4 linked regions of the Kluyveromyces lactis genome follow. The protein of the gene in region 1 binds, or shares a complex with, the protein of each later gene. Links are inferred from orthologs where the notes say so. Each region holds a gene or a part of one and is shown in the gene's direction. Other genes may lie near its edges.

Region 1 (5,735 bases):
TAAGAAAGTCGCTGGTGTCTTAGGAGCTACTGGTTCCGTTGGGCAAAGATTTATCTTGTTGTTAGCTGACCATCCAGATTTTGAATTGAAGGTTTTGGGTGCTTCTTCCAGATCTGCAGGTAAGAAGTATGTCGATGCTGTGAACTGGAAACAAACCGATTTGTTACCAGAATTTGCTAAGTCCATCATTGTTTCTGAATGTACCGCTGATGCCTTCAAGGACTGTGATGTTGTGTTCTCTGGTTTGGATGCTGACTATGCTGGTCCAATTGAGAAGGAATTCAAGGAACATGGGTTAGCTGTTATTTCTAATGCTAAGAACTACAGAAGAGAAGAAGATGTGCCATTAATCGTTCCAATCACCAACCCAGAACATTTGGATTTGGTTAACGCGAACTTGGTAAAGGCCAAGCAAGAAGGTAAGCCAAGACCTGGTTTTATTATTTGTATCTCAAACTGTTCTACTGCTGGTTTAGTGGCCCCATTGAAACCATTAGTTGAAAAATTCGGTCCTATTTCTCTATTGACCACTACCACTTTACAAGCCATTTCCGGGGCTGGTTTCTCTCCAGGTGTCCCAAGTATCGATATCTTAGATAACATCATCCCTTACATTGGCGGCGAAGAAGACAAGATCGAATGGGAGACCAAGAAGATCTTGGGTGCTTTGAGTCAAGATAAATCTCAAATTAACCTATTGAGCGATGACGAAATCAAGGTTTCTGCTCAATGTAACCGTGTTGCTGTCTCTGACGGTCACACTGAATGTATCTCTTTGAAGTTCAAGAACCAGCCAGCTCCATCTGTCGAAGAAGTAAAACAATGTCTAAGAGACTATGTCTGTGATGCTGCTAAGTTGGGATGCCATTCTGCGCCAAAACAAACCATCCATGTCTTGGAACAAAATGATAGACCACAACCAAGATTGGACAGAACAAGAGACAATGGTTACGGTGTATCTGTTGGTAGAGTCAGAGAAGATCCTGTATTGGACTTCAAAATGGTTGTATTGTCCCACAACACCGTTATCGGTGCTGCAGGTGCAGGTATCTTGATTGCCGAAATTCTATTAGCCAAGAACATCATCTAAACGCAAAATGATAATTCTTCCTGAAGCAAATTTGAAAGGCAGTTTCTAGTGCTCCGAATATTTTTGTTTCTTTCACGTAATCATGTATAACCAGATAAAATGTAATTCATAATTCATATTTCGTTACAGAATACCTACAATGGGCACTAATCCATTTCAGCGCAGAGCTTACTAAGATGACGATCTGTTTATCATGGAATTAGTACTGCTCGATGAAGAGACTTTATATGAGTACATTTTCGAACGATATGTGGAATTAGAGGCTAACGCAAACGATTTATCTCAAGATCTCGGTATTCTGTCGAGAAACGAATCAGAATTAGAGATAGACATTGGGCCACATCGCCTAGTGACCAGGAAAAAAAAAGCACCAGAAAGAGATGAGTATACATTTAGTATACACCAAAACCTAACCTCTTTAAATTCCAACCGTGATAATAATAACTCGACGACTGGATACGTCATTTGGACCACGTCTACTTTTATTCTCAAATGGTTATTATACAATGACAACGCTACCATATTCACAAGAGGGGGTGTAAAGGATGAGGTAGATATTACATCCATTTTTCAATGTCAGCAAGATGATAAACTACGATATGTCCTTGAACTGGGCACTGGAACATCACCAATGTTTCCTATTGTTTTCTCTAATTACGTTGATAAATATGTGGCCACTGATCAAAAGGACATCTTGCCTCGATTAAAAGATAACATCCAAGAAAACCAGTCAGAGTGTAGACGGAGACTGCTTAAATCCAACACAATTGCTTTAGATGATCTTAAGAGACGTACTGAGTTGGAATGTCAGATTGACATAGCGCTGTTAGATTGGGAACTGTTCTCAGGTAGCAAGAAATCTAGAAACGATCCCGTTCTTCAATGCGGACCGAACTTCCATCTGACTATAATCGCAATGGATGTAATATACAACGAATACTTAATTGTACCATTTTTAACCACTCTTGAGTCGTTATTCGTCTGGTATACCGAACAACGTGTAACGGTATCGGCATTGATCGGAATTCAACTTAGAACTCAAGATGTACTTGAAATGTTCCTCGAAGAGGCTATCATAGAGAGACAATTCATAGTGCACGCCGTCGATGAAAAAGAACTTAACAAGTCACGTTTCATACTCTTACACGTAAATTTGCCCTAGTTCATATACACTAGGAGGGCTTCTCTCTCTATAGATACCTTAATGCAGTTCTTCTGAACATACTGCCGTAGCATTAATTTTTAGCATTTGAAGATATAATGAAATACAAAGAATCATAACCCAAGTAAACTATTAACCATTATATAGATGTTGAGTTGAAAACAACTCCTGCACCAGTAGGCCGTGCATTGTAGCCATGTTAGGGTCAATGTTTGGGGGTTCCTCCATACCACCGTCTGCTGCACCCTTTAGTATGCATGATAGCTCTAGATCATCTAGTAATCATGCGGAGAAACGCAAATTTAAGAGGCCTAATGGTAAATCTAGCAAGACTACATCCAACAATGGCTCTAAGGGGAAGCTAATAAAGAAAATGGTACCAACTTTGAGTCAGGATCAAAATGAAATCATTGGCACACTTTTTGATGGAAATCCAGCGATACTTGGGTTTCAACAGCCGACAAAACCAGCCGAGAGAGAACTACCGAGATATCTCATAAGACAGGCACCCATCTTGAAACCTGTACCGATAGTTCAAGACGAATGGGATAAAAAAAACCAGGAACGCATGCTTCAACTGGAAGACAACATATCTGATGTGACTACACTCTGGGAAACATTGAAGAAGATGAGAGACGAAGAAAGAGAAGTAATGGAAGAGAAAGGACTCGTTGACAAAGCAGATCAGGCGAAAGATCTTACTGAAGCAATCATTTTCCAAGGTACGTGTCAAGATATGTGTCCAATCTTTGAGAGAGCTAGAAGAAGTGTTGAAAACAATGTCGTGAGGTATGAAAAAGCTAATCCAAGTGATAAAAAAGTTGATAGAGGTAAAGCCTTAAAGGTATTCGCTAGACCTGCAGCTGCAGCTGCTCCACCATTACCGTCTGATGTTAGACCTCCTCATGTGTTATTGGGAACACTGGACTACATAGTAGATGAAATCGTCCCTCTACTACCAGACTGTGAAGCCTTTCTATGGGACAGGATGAGATCAATAAGACAGGACTTTACTTACCAGAATTACTCAGGACCTGAAGCCATTGATTGTAACGAGAGAATTGTAAGGATACATTTGCTAATTTTGCACCAAATGGCAAAGACAGATATTACCTTCAGTGTTCAACAGGAACTTGAACAACTACACAAGGCGATAATTACTTTATGTGAAATATACGACGAAGTAAGAGATCAAGGAGGACAATGCCCCAACGAAGCCGAATTTAGAGCGTACGCCCTTTTGAGTAAGATAAGAGATCCCGAATATGACAAGATGGCCCAGGACTTACCCAATGATATCTTCAATGACGAGCTAATGCAGTTAGCAATTACCTTCAGAAGAATTCTAGCGAACTCTAACCATGTGGAAAGAGGTGTTGTCGTAACGGAGAATTGCATGAATTTATACGACCGATTTTTTCAATTAATTCAATCTGATAAGGTACCCTTTCTAATGTCTTCATTTTTGCAGGTGTATCTCAACGAGATTAGATTTTATGCATTCAAATCTCTTTCTTTAGCGGTAACCAGAAAGGGAGGGAACTTACCATACCAATATTTTATAGAGCACTTTTTATTTCGTGATGCAAACGATTTGGAGACATTCTGCCGCTACTACTCCATAGATTTCGGTGATGGGAAGATATTATTGAAAAGTCTCACTGGAACTTCTCATTTCCTAGCAGAAACTCAGCCAATGAGAAAGAATTGGGTTTCATGCGTGGAGCAAAAATTACAGAGAAATACCACGACTGCTCTTATAAATAATCGAAAACACAATGTTGACACAATTCCTTCTAACAAGAGGTCTCTCCTGGACAACGTATCTCAACTAGAAGAATCACAGCTAACGCAATATAACCAAAACTTTGCTGGAACATCTGGTGCTAAGGAAACCCTTCCTATATCTGCAAACCGACCCTTTAGCTTCCAAACAAGTACTTCCCTAATCACAGAAAAGAATGCTACGGCCAATGGAAACCAACCGTTTATGTTTGGTACTCCGTCACAACCTAAAACTGATGTTAAAAAAGCCCCTAACGACGTGTCATTAGAAGGTGTAAAGCTCGGGCAAGCTGCACCTTTTGGAAAGACAGACGAATTTGTAAAAAAACAGGCATTACAGCAAAAACTGGAGGAACAAAAGCAAAAGTTCAACATGCAAAAGCAGTTAGACGAAAAAGCCCGACTTCTCAATGAAAAGCAAGGCTTAGAAAAACAAAATGAAGAAAAGCTGCGGAGACAGCTGGAATTAGAGAAAGTACAACAAGCAGCTATTCAAAGAAGAAATGAAATTGTCAATGAAACCAGCAGTAACATCTTTACTACTTTAATGGAGCAACAACTAGAAAAAACCATTAAAAATGAGATTCAAAAGAGACAAGCTAACGCCCTTCATATTGAAAATCTGAGCAGGGATTTATTTCGGTCATTCATACATGAACAAATATACTTCGTATTCCTTGAAGTGAGAGCCGATATATTTAAGAAAAAGATTATTACAATGCATGTAATGAAGAAATGGAGATCTAAGTTCAATAAAATACTGAAATTGAAGAAAATCAAACAACAAAAACAAGAAGAGGCTCTAAGATTGAGTAAGGAACTTGGAGTAGGAAAAAGAGTTCATTCCCTACGCTCCACTACAAAAAAAAATAAGTATCTGGACGCCAATTCCACTTTTGAAGCGTCTTCTTTCATTAAATCAGGCACAATGAATTACAGCACACCTTTACACTTGGAAGAAAATCATTTCACAACACCGGTAAGAAACAATTCAAATGTCTGGTCTCCTTTAGATTTGAAAGAAGTGTATTTTAACGAGTTGTTATCGCGGCTGCAAGGAATCTTGAAAGATAGTAAGCTTCAAAGCAAAGACATCAAATCACAAATTGACATCGTACTATATTCAAAGACCTGGGAATGTATCTCAGGCCAGTGGCTTTTAAGTAAGTTCCACCTAGCAAAGGACTCAACATACACGATAGATAGTCCGATACTAAATGCAGGCTTTATAAGACTAACCAACGATTACAAGACAGACAGCTTCAACAATGTCAATTTAGTATTATTCAATTCGGGTGTCACTGATTCCGACATATTTGATTTGGATATGAAACTACAAAAAGATGGAGAGAGGTTGATTGAGGTAATATGTGGAGTTGCATTCAATACCAATTACAAGTTCAAGCTAATCATAATATACTGGGAATCCATCGAAAACCCCAAAAGTACAACGGAAATCAAACAACTTCTAAAAGTTCACAAAATCTTGAAACGTTTCGGAGATATCATGTATGGCATTGAAGTTGTTAAAATTGTCGGATCTAATCCTGAAGCCCTAGTTGCAAACGGTTTAGCTAATGCCGCGCACGACTTCCAATTTGAGCTAACCGATCGTGGATTATACAACGAAACAAGAAAACGTCGCAGTTTACTCGGCGTTGGAATGGACACAGTTCGAGAACCATCTGCTGACATCGA
Region 2 (3,985 bases), on another chromosome or scaffold:
TTGGAGAACTTCAACCTGAGCTTGGGATTGTATCACATTCTTTTCAACTGAAGTGTTTCTTTCCTTGTTTTCCAACATGTCGACAGGAATTTGTTTAATTTCCTCTAAACACACTGACAACTCATTTGGTTTTTCCTGTAGGGATAGGACTGACGTTGCAAAGTGAACATAAATCGAGAATAAATTCACATCAGACTTTAAGGTTCCATTAAATTCATAAAGCTCTTCCAATTTCGTGGTGACGAAGGTGTTAATCGTATGGAAAGTGTTATACAGGCTTCTTATTCGCTGCTGATCAGATTCCTTTGACAAGTGTTCAGTATCGGACAAAAGTCTTTCCACCGACGCTTCAAGAAACATTTGAATAGCCGTAAATAGAACCCTAGGATCCGATAAAGTGATGTCTGCATTTTCTAATAGAGATAATTGAACCTTGATTGGATGACTATTTTTTACTGATTCCAATAATAAGTCCAAATTGATCTTTTCTTTCAAATATGTCACACCAGCATCATATTTAATCATCGCATAATATATGAATAAAATTAGTTGAGATGTGCATATACTCACAGCGTCTTGGCTAAGAAGTTGGTCTCTCAGGTATATGATTTTAATTTGAGAAAGTAGCTCCACTTTGTTATCCACTTTCAGATGGCTAAGCTTTGCAGAAGATACCTCGTTCTGGAATTGAAGCTCATTATTCCTTAATTGTAACGAAGTAAGTTCTGCTTGTAATTCTTCAACTTCTGGTGACATTTCTTGAGAATATTGCCCCGATTTATTTTGCAGTGATTGTAATTCATTCTTTAAGGTTTTGTTGTTTTCCTTCAATGCGTTAATTATGCTCTCGTCAGTAGAGAGAGTTTCCTGAAGTTTCGCTATTTGAGAATTTAGCTCCGATTCGACCTCTTTATAAAGTGCTTCTAGTTCTTCATCTGCCAATTGAGTTTGTTTCAACTTGAGTAACTCTGACTTAAGACAATCAAGCTCCGTACTTAATTGATGGTTTTCTGTAGTAAGAGATTCAATGATGTTATTAGAATTACTATTCGCACTGAAGTGCTGTTTCAATTCATCTAATGTTTTTGTTGTTTCAAATAGTTTACTCTCTAAGGCTGATATTGTTCGCAAATATGTCTCTGCCTGGGTTTGCAGTTCTTCATTACTATTTTTCAAACCGTTGCATTGTTTCTGTATTTCTGTTAGGTCTGATTGCAGCTTTTGTAGTGCAACCGTTAATAATCTGTTTTGCTTGATAAGGGCATCTGATTCTACTGATTCTATCTGATCAGTGTTGACATCAACGTCTGCTTTTCTTCTTATTAAAATTTCTTCTTTATAATCATTAAGCTCCTTCAAAGCACTTTCATGAGCAATGGTCAAGCTTTCTAATTCAAATATCAGTGAATCATTGCGTTGCTCTGCCTCATCTCGTCCTAAAGTTAATTTCTCCAATTGTTCCTCGAGAAATTGCACTTTTTCAAGCTCTTTTGATCTCAATCCCAGCTCCTTTTCAAACGAAATACATTTGTCATTAACTGACTTGAGTTTAACTTCCAATCTTCCAATGATCTTTTTCAATCGTTCGGGATCTGATGAGTTAGAATTCGTAGTATCAGGATCCTGAAATTGTTGCGAGTTCGGTGCAGAATTTTTATAGATACCCTCTCTTCTACTGAATATACCATACATCCGACCTTTTCTACCCTCACTGAGTTCAAAGTACCTGACTCCCTTGACGCTACCATCGTTCTTCCCTAAGGGTTCATCTAACTCAACACCGATCCAAATCCCCGCTGCAAACTGCGTCTCGCCTATAAACCGTACAGTTCCTGCCAGGCTGCGTAGCACTACCCTATCTCCTAATTCCAGATCCATTGTTTCATTTTAGAACTAAAGAGTAGTTGATCTGGCAGTACTGTAAGGTATTCATCAGTTATTGCCTTCATTTCTTTCAGGATATGTGTTTATGTTCCTTAAACTCAATATTGTCAAAATAATCATAAACATGAAATCTTTAAACATATTTTAAAGAAGTTTCACGAAGTTTACGCGTGCAGCAAAAGAGGTAAATTAAGAGGTTCGATTGACTTACAGCCAAGACTCACAACGGCAAGAAATCTAACCCAATTCGGATCATAGAAACATGAATAACAGAAGGCCCAGTGGACGAGTAGCGAAATCCGTGGATAAATCCACTTTACAAAAGGAATTATTAGAAGAACAGAAACAAGAAATATACGAGGCGTTCTCACTCTTTGATATGAACAATGATGGATATCTCGACTATCATGAATTCAAAGTCGCTCTAAGGGCATTGGGTTTTGAACTCAGTAAAGGAGACATATTAGAACTTATCGATAGGTATGATGCAGACGGACGCCGGTTAATACAATACGAGGATTTTTACCTGGTAGTAGGAGAAAAAATATTGCAAAGAGACCCATTGGATGAAATTAAACGTGCCTTCAGGCTATTCGACGATGATAACACGGGCAAGATCTCATTGAAGAATTTGAAACGTGTAGCTCACGAACTAGGTGAAAACCTTACAGACGAAGAACTACGTGCCATGATTGATGAGTTTGATCTTGACGATGACGGAGAGATCAATGAAGAAGAGTTCATTGCTATATGCACTGACAATTAGTGCTTCACGACCATTTCCATTGCCACAGCTGGAGCCCTGTGCCGCATGTATATCTCACCTTGTATATCCTATGTAACATCAAGCTATAATACTAAATCAAATGCGAAGAATCTGATAGTCTAATTCGGATCACGTGCTTTCATTTTTCCCTTCCAAAAAAATTTGTCGATGAAAAACTTGAAGGAACGGAATCAAGAAAGACATATGTATCAATATGGTACTATGGAATGAACCACAAATGGTTTATGTTCTGTGAAAAGGACGGTGGTATTCGATACTAGAATAAAATAGATCAGCGGGTATGTCTTCATATAAACATTTATCGAAGGCTGGTGCCCGTTTTTTGGAGCAAGTTCAAGCGAAGAACTCTAATATTGCGAAACAATTTGCCAAGTATGAAGGTTTGACGATGCCAGAGTTCTTGAAACCATCGTTGCCTCGTGTCGAAGAATCCGAGAAGTATAAGAGTGTAAAGCAATGGAAATATATGCCAGGTGATAGAGTGGTGATAGTAAATGGAAAGTTTAAGGGCAATGTTTGTGCCATTACGCAGCACGACGTGCATACAAACGGGTATATTTTGGATGAGAATGGACCCACCAACACTGTTCCTGTGCCCAAGCAATTTTGGCAACAGGGGCAGAACAGTCATATGGTGAGTTTCCCTGTCCCCGTGAGCCAAGCGGACATCAAACTAGTCGCTGATCTCGATGATCCAGAGACTCCAGGTGTGGCTAAGACTGTTGCTGTTCGTGACATCGAATTCAAGGGTTCGTATTATGATTCAGATTACAAGAAAATTATGCCATATAGGGTTGTTGTTGGTGAGAACAATATGGTTGTTCCATGGCCTAAGCCGGAGTTCAAGCCAGATGGTGCATTGGCTACGCGTTCTGAAATTGCACGTCAACAAACTTTCTGGGTTGAAAGCGTAGTAAAAAATCCTGTTCCAGAAGCAGCATTGTCAACCATCCGTAACCCTAAGTCGAAATACAGAAGAGGTACCTTGACAACGAAGGAAATATCAAGATTGGTGGCTCCAAAAATGCCTCTAACGGAAGCAAAGAAAAGATACATCGAACAAAGAAAAGAATTGGCAGCATTGCCAAAACGTAAATTGACTGATGAAGATCAAGAATTGATTGGTGACAAGGTCTACCAACACTTCAAGAAATCTTTCGAATTACAATAAGAATAAATAATAGTTTTGGCTAGCACTTAACTGCCATTCGTATCCACGCTACTTGTACATAGATCATAATATCATACTTCATCGCACTTTTATCTGACTTTTTTTTTTACTACATGTTTATTTTGAATGGAAATCTATACGTA
Region 3 (4,990 bases), about 1.1 Mb from region 1:
CTTCTTCTTTGGCTTTTCTTCGGATGTTACCGCACTCTTCTCAGTTGTCGCAGTGTCAAATTTCGATGATTTCGGTTCAGATTTCGATTTAGGTTTAGATTTGGATTTGGATTTGTGTTTGGATTTAGACTTTTTGGGCTTCTCAACTTCTGATTTATCCTTAGAAACATCTTTCTCGTCCGGATTATCCTTGTTCTTTGCCTTAGCACGTTTCAGCTTCCTCTTCTTCTCTAATAGTCTTAACTTTTTCTTAATCTTTTTGATCCTCTTCTTCTTTTCTTCGCTTGTTGGATCACCAGCCAATTCTATTAGTGCTCTTTGCTTACGTCCGTTTAACTCTTCTTCCATTTTTTCTTCACGTTCTAATTCCTTTCTTAAAGGTGCAATAACACTTAAATTCTTGAACTGTAATGAGTTGGTTTCATCTTCATTAATCAATTTCCATGATTTGACAAAGGTTTGAAAGACATGGTCCTTTTGAATCGTGCCTTGAATAGGATTAACCTCGTTGGGACTGACCCACTTCTTAACGAACGGCGAGATTTGTAAATCTGGAATCATCGAGTTATCCAAATCATCTATGAATCTGCATGTTCTTATTGTTTTTGACAACGATTGAATGGTTTCGAAGGAGTCCAATTGGATATATGCCCTAGACAAAGTCTGTTTCTTGAACACCTTGCTGGAGTAATGACCTTGCACGTAGTAGAATGATTTTTGAAATGAATGCACATCGATGTTGTTCTCTTGTAAAGTGCTGATGAATTGCTCTTCTGTTAAATTTGGTGGTAAAGATCGAATACATAATTTGAATTCACGGGAAGAGTCAGCACTCCTCTTCCGGTACCTCCTTCTATTTCTTTTCTTAGAGAGCATTCGTGAAAGAACGCAGTTTTACTGAAGGATCTTGTCTGAGGTATTGTGATAACAGCTCATGTTTTCGTTAGGGATGCATTTGTGATGAAGAACAGATGTGCTAACTGAAATTTTTTAGTGCAATTAAGTAAAATAATACTATGACAAACATAAATGCAAATTGAACCGTAATCGTATCAGTAAGCTGGTAGAAACGTGAATATACCCAACGCAAGTCGGGGTTACAAATATGAATACAACATCGCAGTATAAAGCTTAATGGATTTCAAAATGTGTGTATTTGAGATATATCTACATAGTAATAAATACCGACACACAGATACACATCATATAAGAAAAGACATCTTTAAATATGGAATAATTGTGGGAAAGAATATGTATTGATAAAGTGAACAATTTGTCAACGTTACATTTATTCGTAGATCCAAGACAATTGGTTCAACTTGTAGTCAATAAGTTCTTCCTTCTTGAACCACAAGCCGATTTCCTTTTCAGCAGATTCAACAGAGTCAGAACCGTGACAGACATTTCTACCAACTTCAATGGCAAAGTCACCTCTGATGGTACCTGGAGCAGATTGCAATGGGTTGGTAGCACCCAAGATAGCACGACCTTGCTTAACAACATCCTTACCTTCCCAGACAGTAGCTAAAACTGGACCAGAAGTCATGTAAGACAATAGAGATGGGAAGAATGGCTTGGAAACCAAGTCAGCGTAGTGCTCCTTCAACAAAGCTTCGGTTGGAGTAACCAACTTAATACCAACCAATTTGTAACCTCTGTCTTCAAAACGAGCTAAGATCTTAGAGATCAAACCTCTTTGAACACCATCTGGCTTGATAGCAATGAAAGTTCTTTCAGTGTTAGACATTTTTCTCGAGTTAGTTAATACGTGATTCTGTGTACGATCCTGCTATGAACTAAGAATCAATGGAACATAAGCAATCGCTAACCCCAGAAGTTGAAATAAAGTGCATGGAAAGAAGAAAGTTACTGCAAATTGAAATCAACGAAATTGAAATATTTCTCGAGAGAGCCAACGAATGAGGATCCGATTCATGCTCGATGAGATTGGTGCAGACGAAGAAATGCCGGGGAAAATCGAAAATGAGAGAAAATTTTTCCGGCACGTGACTTTGATTAGTTGATGTTTGGGGCTTCTTACTGAGGAAGCTGTAAAAGTATGGTTCATCATACACAATAGCAGAAAGGTGTCCATATCGTTAGCAAGCGCATTCGGAGGTTGGGATTAGGCGAAACACTGTATGTAAACCCCAAAGAGTGTTTATGGATATATGTCGAGGCAAGTCTTCAAGTGACTTTATCGATCACGTGACAAGAAAAATCAACAAACGGAAATCATGGTCTCTTGAAACATTGTACCTGGCTCATCTAATATTAAGGTTAGAATCAGACAAATCAGAAAAACTTCTGGTTGACATTTGACTCAGATCACCTTTATAGGACAAACTTTGAATTGAAAAGCGCCAGTGGATTTTCCTTTGTGGTTTTTGGTTATGGACCATTTCTTTGGGGCTCTAAAGGCAGGTGATTTTAGTGTATTGGATATAAACATCGAAAGAAATGGACAATTAATTCTTGAATTGCAACAGTTTTTGAGATCCAATGACAGCATTGACCTTGAGACCCTGATAAATTCACATTCTCTTTATGAGAACAGATGGACCAGGTTTAATAATTTGGTAAGTTCATTTCTTGGGTACTGTAAAGAACTGAATCCATATTCATTATGGGAATCGTCCTTCTCTGTGTTCCAATATTACCAGGATTTGAATACATGTCTCACAAACGAGACAACAATGTACCCTATTGATTCTTTGGTACCACTGTTTACAGCTACAACAGAATTGGTCATTCCAATGGCTATTAGATTGGATGCTAACCATAAGATCATTGGTACAAGACAGCATCAGTTTCTGACCCATATTGCTTCCATCATTTCCAAATTGTTCAATAGCATTAAAGCCAGGGTCGATGATGATAAGGTCGAATTTGATCATTTGTCAGGGAAACAGAAGGTCTTGCTTTATATTTCAAACAAATTGAACATGATTTATTTCAAGATTAACTCCCCATCTTCGTGCGCTAACATCTTCAAGAATTTGAAACCAAAGTCTAATATCTATTCGTTCAACCAATACCCGTTGACAGAGAGAATCCAGTATAGGTATTACTTGGGGAGATATTACCTATTAAACCATAGAATGGTTAATGCTTTCCATCAGTTGAACCAATGTTACGAACTCCTAGCCACATTACCCGACTCTATTGCGAAACAGAACAACAGGAGAAGATTGTTGAAGTTTTTAGTTCCATGTGGTATCATTATCAGCAAGTTGCCAGATTTCAACAAGTTATCTCAATGGGACCCTATCCTAGCACAGAAATACACAGCTCTTGTGATTGCCGTTAAAAACGGAAACTTGAACAGAGTAAACTTCTGGCTTTACGAGAACGAATCGTGGCTGAAATCATCTAAATTGTTGATTGTTCTATTGGAAAAGCTACCCATTATAACGTTCAGATCCCTTTTGCGATCTATTTTCCTATACTACTGTATACCGCGCAATTCAAATAAACTACCATACTCTGTGATAAGACCAATTCTAGCAAAATCCATCGGTTTATATCCACCTGAAATGCCATCGATATATAAAGACAATTACACCGCAGAATCACTTGAAAATATCCTTGTCACACTTTCAATTCAACAATTGTGGAAGGGAAATGTGTTTCCAAGCCTGCAAGTGTGCGTTACGATGAAGACTAACGATATCTCAGTAATCTTCCCTAATATCAATGAAAAGATCGTCTCTAGATTTTCGTTGAACCAGGAAGATTCCTGGCTCGATAAGTAAATGATAGATAATATACATATAGTATGTAAAAATAGATGACACAGCCCCTCCTAACCTGATTCGGGTCCCACTATCATACCCAGTCGTGAAACACTTTTGGAAGACTCAATTTTTACAGACATGTCTATATAGATATAAGAATGCTCTCACATATATCTGTTTGTCTTCCAGGTCACATTCTGCAAAAAAAAGTAAGAAATTGAAGAGAAGTTGAAATTTTGTTGAAGTTTCCATTATTTTTGTAAAAGGACTGATGATTACAACAGAAAACAAAGAGAGAAGGAAACATCCTTATAGCTAACTACTTTGTTAACAAGCTTTTAGCCATCAACAAAGAGTAGTGATATAGGGCTGTTCTTTGTTTGAGCTATTGAATTTTCCTATAGTGAGTGAGTGTTTCTTGTTGAAAAGAAAAGGTGCAAGAAATACTTCCAAACACAGGTTTTAAGCTTGTTGTGGTTTTTATTTACAAGAACGCTAATCATAATCACTTTACAAGAAATTCAGAAGGAATTTATCCCAATTTTTTCACAGGTAAGGACTGGGTTTTATTATAATTATTATTTTTTTTATTGACCTTTGAACTTTATCTTCCCTTGTAAAGGTTAATTTGCCATTGCATAAGTTCATCTATCTATAGAGCGTTTTGTCTCCGGAGTGCTAAAATATCACAATGTCAGATAATGGGCCAGATTTGTGGCTTGAGAAGATCAAGAAATGTCAGGCTTTGACGGAGTCTGAGATGAAACAGCTATGCGAGATGATGAAGGAACTCTTAATGGAAGAATCGAATATTCAGCCGGTTCAATCGCCGGTGACTGTTTGTGGTGATATTCACGGACAATTTCATGACCTTTTAGAACTATTCAGAACTGCTGGTGGGTTTCCTGATCAAGTAAACTATATTTTTCTTGGTGACTATGTAGATCGTGGTTATTACAGTTTGGAGACGTTCACACTTCTTATGTGTTTGAAAGTGAAATATCCTTCCAGAATTACTTTGGTTAGAGGAAATCATGAGTCGAGGCAAATTACACAAGTTTATGGGTTTTATGAGGAATGTTTAAATAAGTATGGTTCCACAACGGTTTGGAAGTATTGTTGTCAAGTGTTTGATTTCTTAACTTTGGCAGCTATTATTGACGGGAAAATTTTATGTGTGCATGGTGGTTTGTCTCCCGAGATTAGAATGCTTGATCAGATCAGAGTTCTATCGAGAGCCCAAGAAGTTCCTC
Region 4 (4,613 bases), on another chromosome or scaffold:
TGGAATTGAGCAGAAAATTGGTCACGTGATATAGTGTCCGGTGAAGGAAACCATGGTGACACCTGCGTTCCTCTCTCAGCATATCGAAATTATAGCACAAATGAACTGATGATTTTGTCGGACAAACACTTTTGACGTCTTTGTTTTCATTCACAGTAAGACACCTGTGAAAAAGTAAAGATAGTCCGTTTCGTTCTTATTCTTGAAAATAAGAACTCGTCTTACTGTGATGAGAATGAATCAGTGTGAACAATTCTCTAAAGGTAATATTTTGTTGCATATTTCCACTTTACTGTGGAGGAGATTTATTGACAAACTTGATTCCAAACTGTGCTTCATTGAACAACGCTTTTTACTCACGTCACTGCTTGTATTTTCTCTATTAAATCAGATACTCCAAGATAAAGCTAGATCTCGTTATAGGTAGTGAGCAGACGGCGCTAACGAGGACTGGAAAGTGATTCGCACGAAATAAGGTTGCAAATTGGGCAGAAGATAAGATCTACAACTTCCAGTAATATAATGGAAACTCTATTGGAAAAAGACCTACCGGAAGGTAAAGAAGAGCGAATCAGGCTGGCGTTGGATTTTATTCGGGAACAACATAGTAAAGAAGGGACTGATAATTCAGAGCATGATATTAAGCCCAAGAAGGACGTGTTGAAACCTAGTAAATATGGTAAAAAACGAAAGCCCACAATCAGACAGATTGCACTCCATTTTCAAATACCTAAGAGTACGCTATACGATAGGATGAAGGCAGATCAAGGACAAAAGAGGCAAAGAACGATAACTAAGGCAAACGCCGCTGGAGGCCAGAGTGATGAAATCTCTGATGAAAATAATGAACACGATTTACAAATGCAGTTAAGAAATCAGACAACGAGAACGTATTCTCACTTATCTCAAATGAGATTCAGCCCGGAAGCAGAATCCGACATGGTGCGAAATATGCAGGGTTATGTATTAGCTTATGGTAATCTGCCATTGATCTCAGATTTAAGAGAGTGCATACCCAGCACAACAAGGGCGGTACACTTGGGAAATAAATGGATCACTGGTTTCATAAGACGACATGGGGAAGAAACGGTATATGGTATGACGGGCGAGGGGGTATTGAACGCTAAATTTAAAGATTTTAGGCAATGGAAAAACAAGTTTAGTCAATTGCATGATTTATTCCTTCGGTGCTTGCAATCCAAATTAAAAAGATGCCATCAGTTTTACTACATCTGTAAATACGTTCCACATGGCTCAAACGAAGCCAATAAGATGATATTTTTTGCATTAAAAGTGAAGATTCAGCAGGTAAATGCTGGCACAGAGAAAGATGTGACAATATCTTTGCTATGTGAACCAATTACAAGGGAGTTAAGTCCCATCTCTCCTGAAGAAGCAAAGGAACAATTCTTACAAGATCTAAATTCCATTTTGAAACGTATAGACGCTAACTCTACGGACCTAGTCGTTTTGGAAGGGTTAACACAGACGGAACATTGGGACTGGTCACAATGTCTAGAATTAGTCAAAACGCACAAGCTAAACGGTAAATTGTATACGGTTCCCTGGGGAAATGACCTACTCACGAATTGTTTAAACAAGGATAATAATATTGCGGTCACTTTTGAGAAAATCACACAAGATTCGAATTCAGCGGTGGCTACCAAAGATATGGTTAACTTTACCTCTGTGTCTGTCATGCTTAAGGAAATAATCACCAACGCAACGCCGTTACCAGCCGTTGCCATCAATAATTCGCGCACTCAAAGGGACGCTATACGGCAATTAATTCGAACTATATCTGAGAATGAGTCGCGGTTGTATAGAGAAATACATGATCCTGATGCCCGTGTCACTCTTTGCAACATTTTCAATCAAGCGCGCTTACTTGAAGAGTCATTATCTACTTGCGCTGTTGAACTCACGTGACTTGTTATTGTCATTTCTGCATTTAATTGGGTTCTAGATTACCCGCATTATTTCACGTGATCAACCAATGTCACTTCTCAGTGGCAAAATTGACTGCTTACATGTAGTACGTGGTATCACTCCTGACGACAGTGAAATATATCTGTTTTAACGACGAAATGAGAACGTAAGAAAAAAACAGCGAAAGGTAAGAGAATTTCAAAACAATAATTTGGCATAGATTATGAAGAAAAGGTGCGTGTTGTGCTCTGACGGTTGTTAATTGAATTAAGGATTTATACGTGTTTAATCTAAGGATAGAACTTGTTGAGAAGCAACTTGGTATTGTCAACCACAAGGAAGAAGACCCAACCGAAACAATGTCTCACGAAGCAGAAGAGGATTTATTGGAGTATTCCGATAACGAACAAGAAGTTCAAGTTGACAACAAGGCCACTGAAGTGAATGCCGAGGGTAACGGTGAGAGCCAAGCAAAGGATTCTGATAAGAAAGGTTCTTATGTTGGTATTCACTCCACTGGTTTCAAGGATTTCTTGTTGAAGCCAGAATTGTCCAGAGCTATCATTGACTGTGGTTTTGAACATCCTTCTGAAGTGCAACAACATACCATTCCTCAATCCATTCATGGTACTGACGTCTTATGTCAAGCTAAGTCTGGTCTAGGTAAGACTGCTGTGTTCGTGTTGTCTACTTTGCAACAATTGGATCCAGTTCAAGGTGAAGTCAGTGTCGTCGTGCTATGTAACGCGAGAGAATTGGCTTACCAAATTAGAAACGAATACTTGAGATTCTCCAAATACATGCCAGACGTTAAGACTGCTGTATTTTACGGTGGTACTGAATATAAGAACGATATTGATTTGCTATCCAAGAAGGAAACCGTCCCTCATATCATTGTAGCCACTCCTGGTCGTTTAAAGGCTTTGGTTAGAGACAAGCATATCGATCTATCTCACGTCAAGAACTTTGTCATTGATGAATGTGACAAGGTCTTGGAAGAATTGGATATGAGAAGAGATGTTCAAGATATTTTTAGAGCCACCCCAAGAGATAAGCAAGTTATGATGTTTTCCGCAACTCTATCCCAAGAAATCAGACCAATCTGTAGAAGATTCCTTCAAAATCCATTAGAAATCTTTGTCGATGACGAAGCCAAGTTGACTCTACACGGTTTGCAACAATACTATATCAAATTGAATGAAAAGGAAAAGAACCGTAAGTTGGCTCAATTGTTGGACGATTTGGAATTCAACCAAGTTATCATTTTCGTCAAGTCTACTGTCAGAGCTAACGAATTGACCAAACTATTGAATGCTTCTAACTTCCCAGCCATCACTGTGCATGGTCACATGAAACAAGAAGAACGTATTGCTCGTTACAAGGCTTTCAAGGAATTCGAAAAACGTATTTGTGTTTCCACTGATGTTTTCGGTAGAGGTATTGATATCGAACGTATTAACTTGGCCATTAATTATGATATGCCAAACGAAGCAGACCAATACTTGCATCGTGTTGGTAGAGCTGGTAGATTCGGTACCAAGGGTTTGGCTATCTCCATGATATCTAGTGAAGATGACGAACAAGTCTTGGCCAAGATCCAAGAAAGATTTGATGTTAAGATCACTGAGTTCCCAGAAGAAGGTGTTGATCCATCTACTTATTTGAACACTTAGATATTTCATCATAGCGTTTTACTTCAGAATTTTTTACCAAAACTAGAAAATTGCAAAAACAAGCTGGAATGTGTATTATCAAATAAAATGTGGTTTTTATACAGTTTAAAACGAATTTCCAATAGTCCCATTATAACTAAGTAACATAATTGGAGTATAAGTGTATAAAATCAATTCAATTCTCATGAAAAAAAGCTTCATTGTATGTCGGGTTTAGGTATTAGTGTTTCCTCATATGCCCTTGCAGATAATTAAAGCGGAGACGTCTGTCATGAATATAATATAAACTGGATTTATGTGATGTACATAAGGTCTATCAAGCCGCTTGTCAGCTTTTACAGGTGAGAAAAGTAAACATATGGGCCTTTCTGGACAAGCAGGTTACGCTTTCTGTAGTCGAACCGTGTCATTGGCGTGGTTCGGCAGAAACGACGTCTGTTTCTTTTATTTTTATGTGTTATTATTGTCATTTGGTCTTCCTGCAGACGAAAATAAGAAATAGAATAATAACTCTGGGGTAAAAACAAATAAAGAGTATGTTCTTACAAGACATCCTTTACAGTCCCATCTGCTGTATTAAAACTCCGTAATTTTGGTAGTGCCGCACCTTTCGGAAGCGATGGCCTATTGAGATGCAATATAGGCAGTTCAGGACGCTCTATTTTCTGATTTGAACTGCTGTTGATCCTAATCAAATGTGAATCAGGTGTCACCTCTGATACCGTACTCAGACTTGGTAAATGCTGCGCTGCTGGAACTGATGCGGCTGGAGTCACCATGTTTGCTGTTGAGGGACTAAGTCCATTATTAAACTGCTGGCTATGATTCACAAGCTGAGTACTATCATGAGAGATGTCAGATTCGGTATTATCAAGATTCTCTGGCTTGTCTTCAATTGGAGAATGTTGGAGTGTCGACCCATGAATGCTTCCATTTTCCGGATTTTGTTCCTCTTTAAGAACCTTTGTAGCAAGTATTCCTAATGTGTTTAACATGTTGGAATCCGACGAG

The links.
Region 2: the proteins of SAC3 (region 1) and CDC31 are in contact, whole or in part, in a crystal structure (PDB 3FWB), measured with the Saccharomyces cerevisiae proteins. The link is inferred for Kluyveromyces lactis from reciprocal best matches to the Saccharomyces cerevisiae genes SAC3 and CDC31. Residues at the interface, in NP_010443.3 of Saccharomyces cerevisiae: Tyr778, Leu779, Met782, Asp783, Arg785, Ala786, Glu787, Lys789, Arg790, Asn791, Ser792, Thr793, Leu794, Lys795, Lys796, Lys797, Phe798, Phe799, Glu800, Lys801, Trp802, Gln803, Ser805; in NP_014900.3 of Saccharomyces cerevisiae: Leu18, Glu20, Gln21, Glu24, Glu27, Leu31, Phe32, Met34, His43, Glu44, Val47, Lys50, Ala51, Leu52, Gly53, Arg92, Glu97, Ile98, Arg100, Ala101, Leu104, Phe105, Ile113, Leu118, Arg120, Val121, Ala122, Glu124, Leu125, Glu127.
Region 3: the proteins of SAC3 (region 1) and THP1 are in contact, whole or in part, in a crystal structure (PDB 5UBP), measured with the Saccharomyces cerevisiae proteins. The link is inferred for Kluyveromyces lactis from reciprocal best matches to the Saccharomyces cerevisiae genes SAC3 and THP1. Residues at the interface, in NP_010443.3 of Saccharomyces cerevisiae: Met86, Ile87, Thr92, Ile93, Leu95, Val96, Gly97, Pro98, Leu99, Ile100, Pro103, Asp104, Asn105, Leu106, Gly107, Phe108, Gln109, Lys110, Arg111, His113, Arg116, Leu118, Pro119, Phe121, Leu122, Ile123, Asn124, Gln125, Glu126, Ser354; in NP_014569.1 of Saccharomyces cerevisiae: Leu23, Ser24, Gly27, Arg28, Ile30, Ala31, Gln34, Lys35, Thr38, Arg73, Asp74, Val75, Asp76, Pro77, Trp78, Ser79, Ala80, Trp81, Ser82, Ser83, Ser84, Asp85, Leu86, Ile87, Phe88, Leu123, Lys126, Leu127, Phe130, His131.
Region 4: the proteins of SAC3 (region 1) and SUB2 are in contact, whole or in part, in a cryo-EM structure (PDB 8U8E), measured with the Saccharomyces cerevisiae proteins. The link is inferred for Kluyveromyces lactis from reciprocal best matches to the Saccharomyces cerevisiae genes SAC3 and SUB2. Residues at the interface, in NP_010443.3 of Saccharomyces cerevisiae: Arg120, Gln125, Asp182, Ser186, Ala187, Lys188, Asp189, Leu190, Ala193, Ile194, Phe240, Pro243, Ala244, Ala245, Ala246, Ala247, Arg288, Arg291, Gln292, Thr295, Tyr296, Asn298, Glu336, Gln337, Lys340, Glu347, His463, Leu465, Asn466, Lys467; in NP_010199.1 of Saccharomyces cerevisiae: Ser13, Asn15, Gly63, Lys65, Pro71, Glu72, Arg75, Ile78, Asp79, Cys80, Gly81, Phe82, Glu83, His84, Pro85, Glu87, Gln145, Asn148, Glu149, Arg152, Lys155, Tyr156, Met157, Pro158.

The regions. Positions count from the first base shown.
Region 1 is NC_006040.1:1,417,100-1,422,834, forward strand, and holds the start of SAC3 (Sac3p), read left to right. Parts: upstream 1-2,448; coding exon 2,449-5,735. Other genes in the region: HOM2 (aspartate-semialdehyde dehydrogenase), read left to right, coding at 1-1,090; RKM5 (S-adenosylmethionine-dependent methyltransferase), read left to right, coding at 1,284-2,252.
Region 2 is NC_006039.1:835,522-839,506, reverse strand, and holds CDC31 (centrin), read left to right. Parts: upstream 1-2,146; coding exon 2,147-2,650; downstream 2,651-3,985. Other genes in the region: NIP100 (Nip100p), read right to left, coding at 1-1,878; MRPL40 (mitochondrial 54S ribosomal protein uL24m), read left to right, coding at 2,952-3,842. UniProt on the Saccharomyces cerevisiae protein: Functions as a component of the spindle pole body (SPB) half-bridge. At the SPB, it is recruited by KAR1 and MPS3 to the SPB half-bridge and involved in the initial steps of SPB duplication.
Region 3 is NC_006040.1:314,611-319,600, reverse strand, and holds THP1 (Thp1p), read left to right. Parts: upstream 1-2,393; coding exon 2,394-3,755; downstream 3,756-4,990. Other genes in the region: UPF3 (Upf3p), read right to left, coding at 1-876; YNK1 (nucleoside diphosphate kinase), read right to left, coding at 1,289-1,747; type 2A-related serine/threonine-protein phosphatase SIT4, read left to right, coding at 4,429-4,990. UniProt on the Saccharomyces cerevisiae protein: Component of the SAC3-THP1 complex, which functions in transcription-coupled mRNA export from the nucleus to the cytoplasm.
Region 4 is NC_006041.1:1,957,482-1,962,094, forward strand, and holds SUB2 (ATP-dependent RNA helicase SUB2), read left to right. Parts: upstream 1-2,288; coding exon 2,289-3,602; downstream 3,603-4,613. Other genes in the region: KLLA0_E21913g (uncharacterized protein), read left to right, coding at 523-1,929; FDO1 (Fdo1p), read right to left, coding at 4,145-4,613. UniProt on the Saccharomyces cerevisiae protein: ATP-binding RNA helicase component of the TREX complex involved in transcription elongation and required for the export of mRNA out of the nucleus. SUB2 also plays a role in pre-mRNA splicing and spliceosome assembly.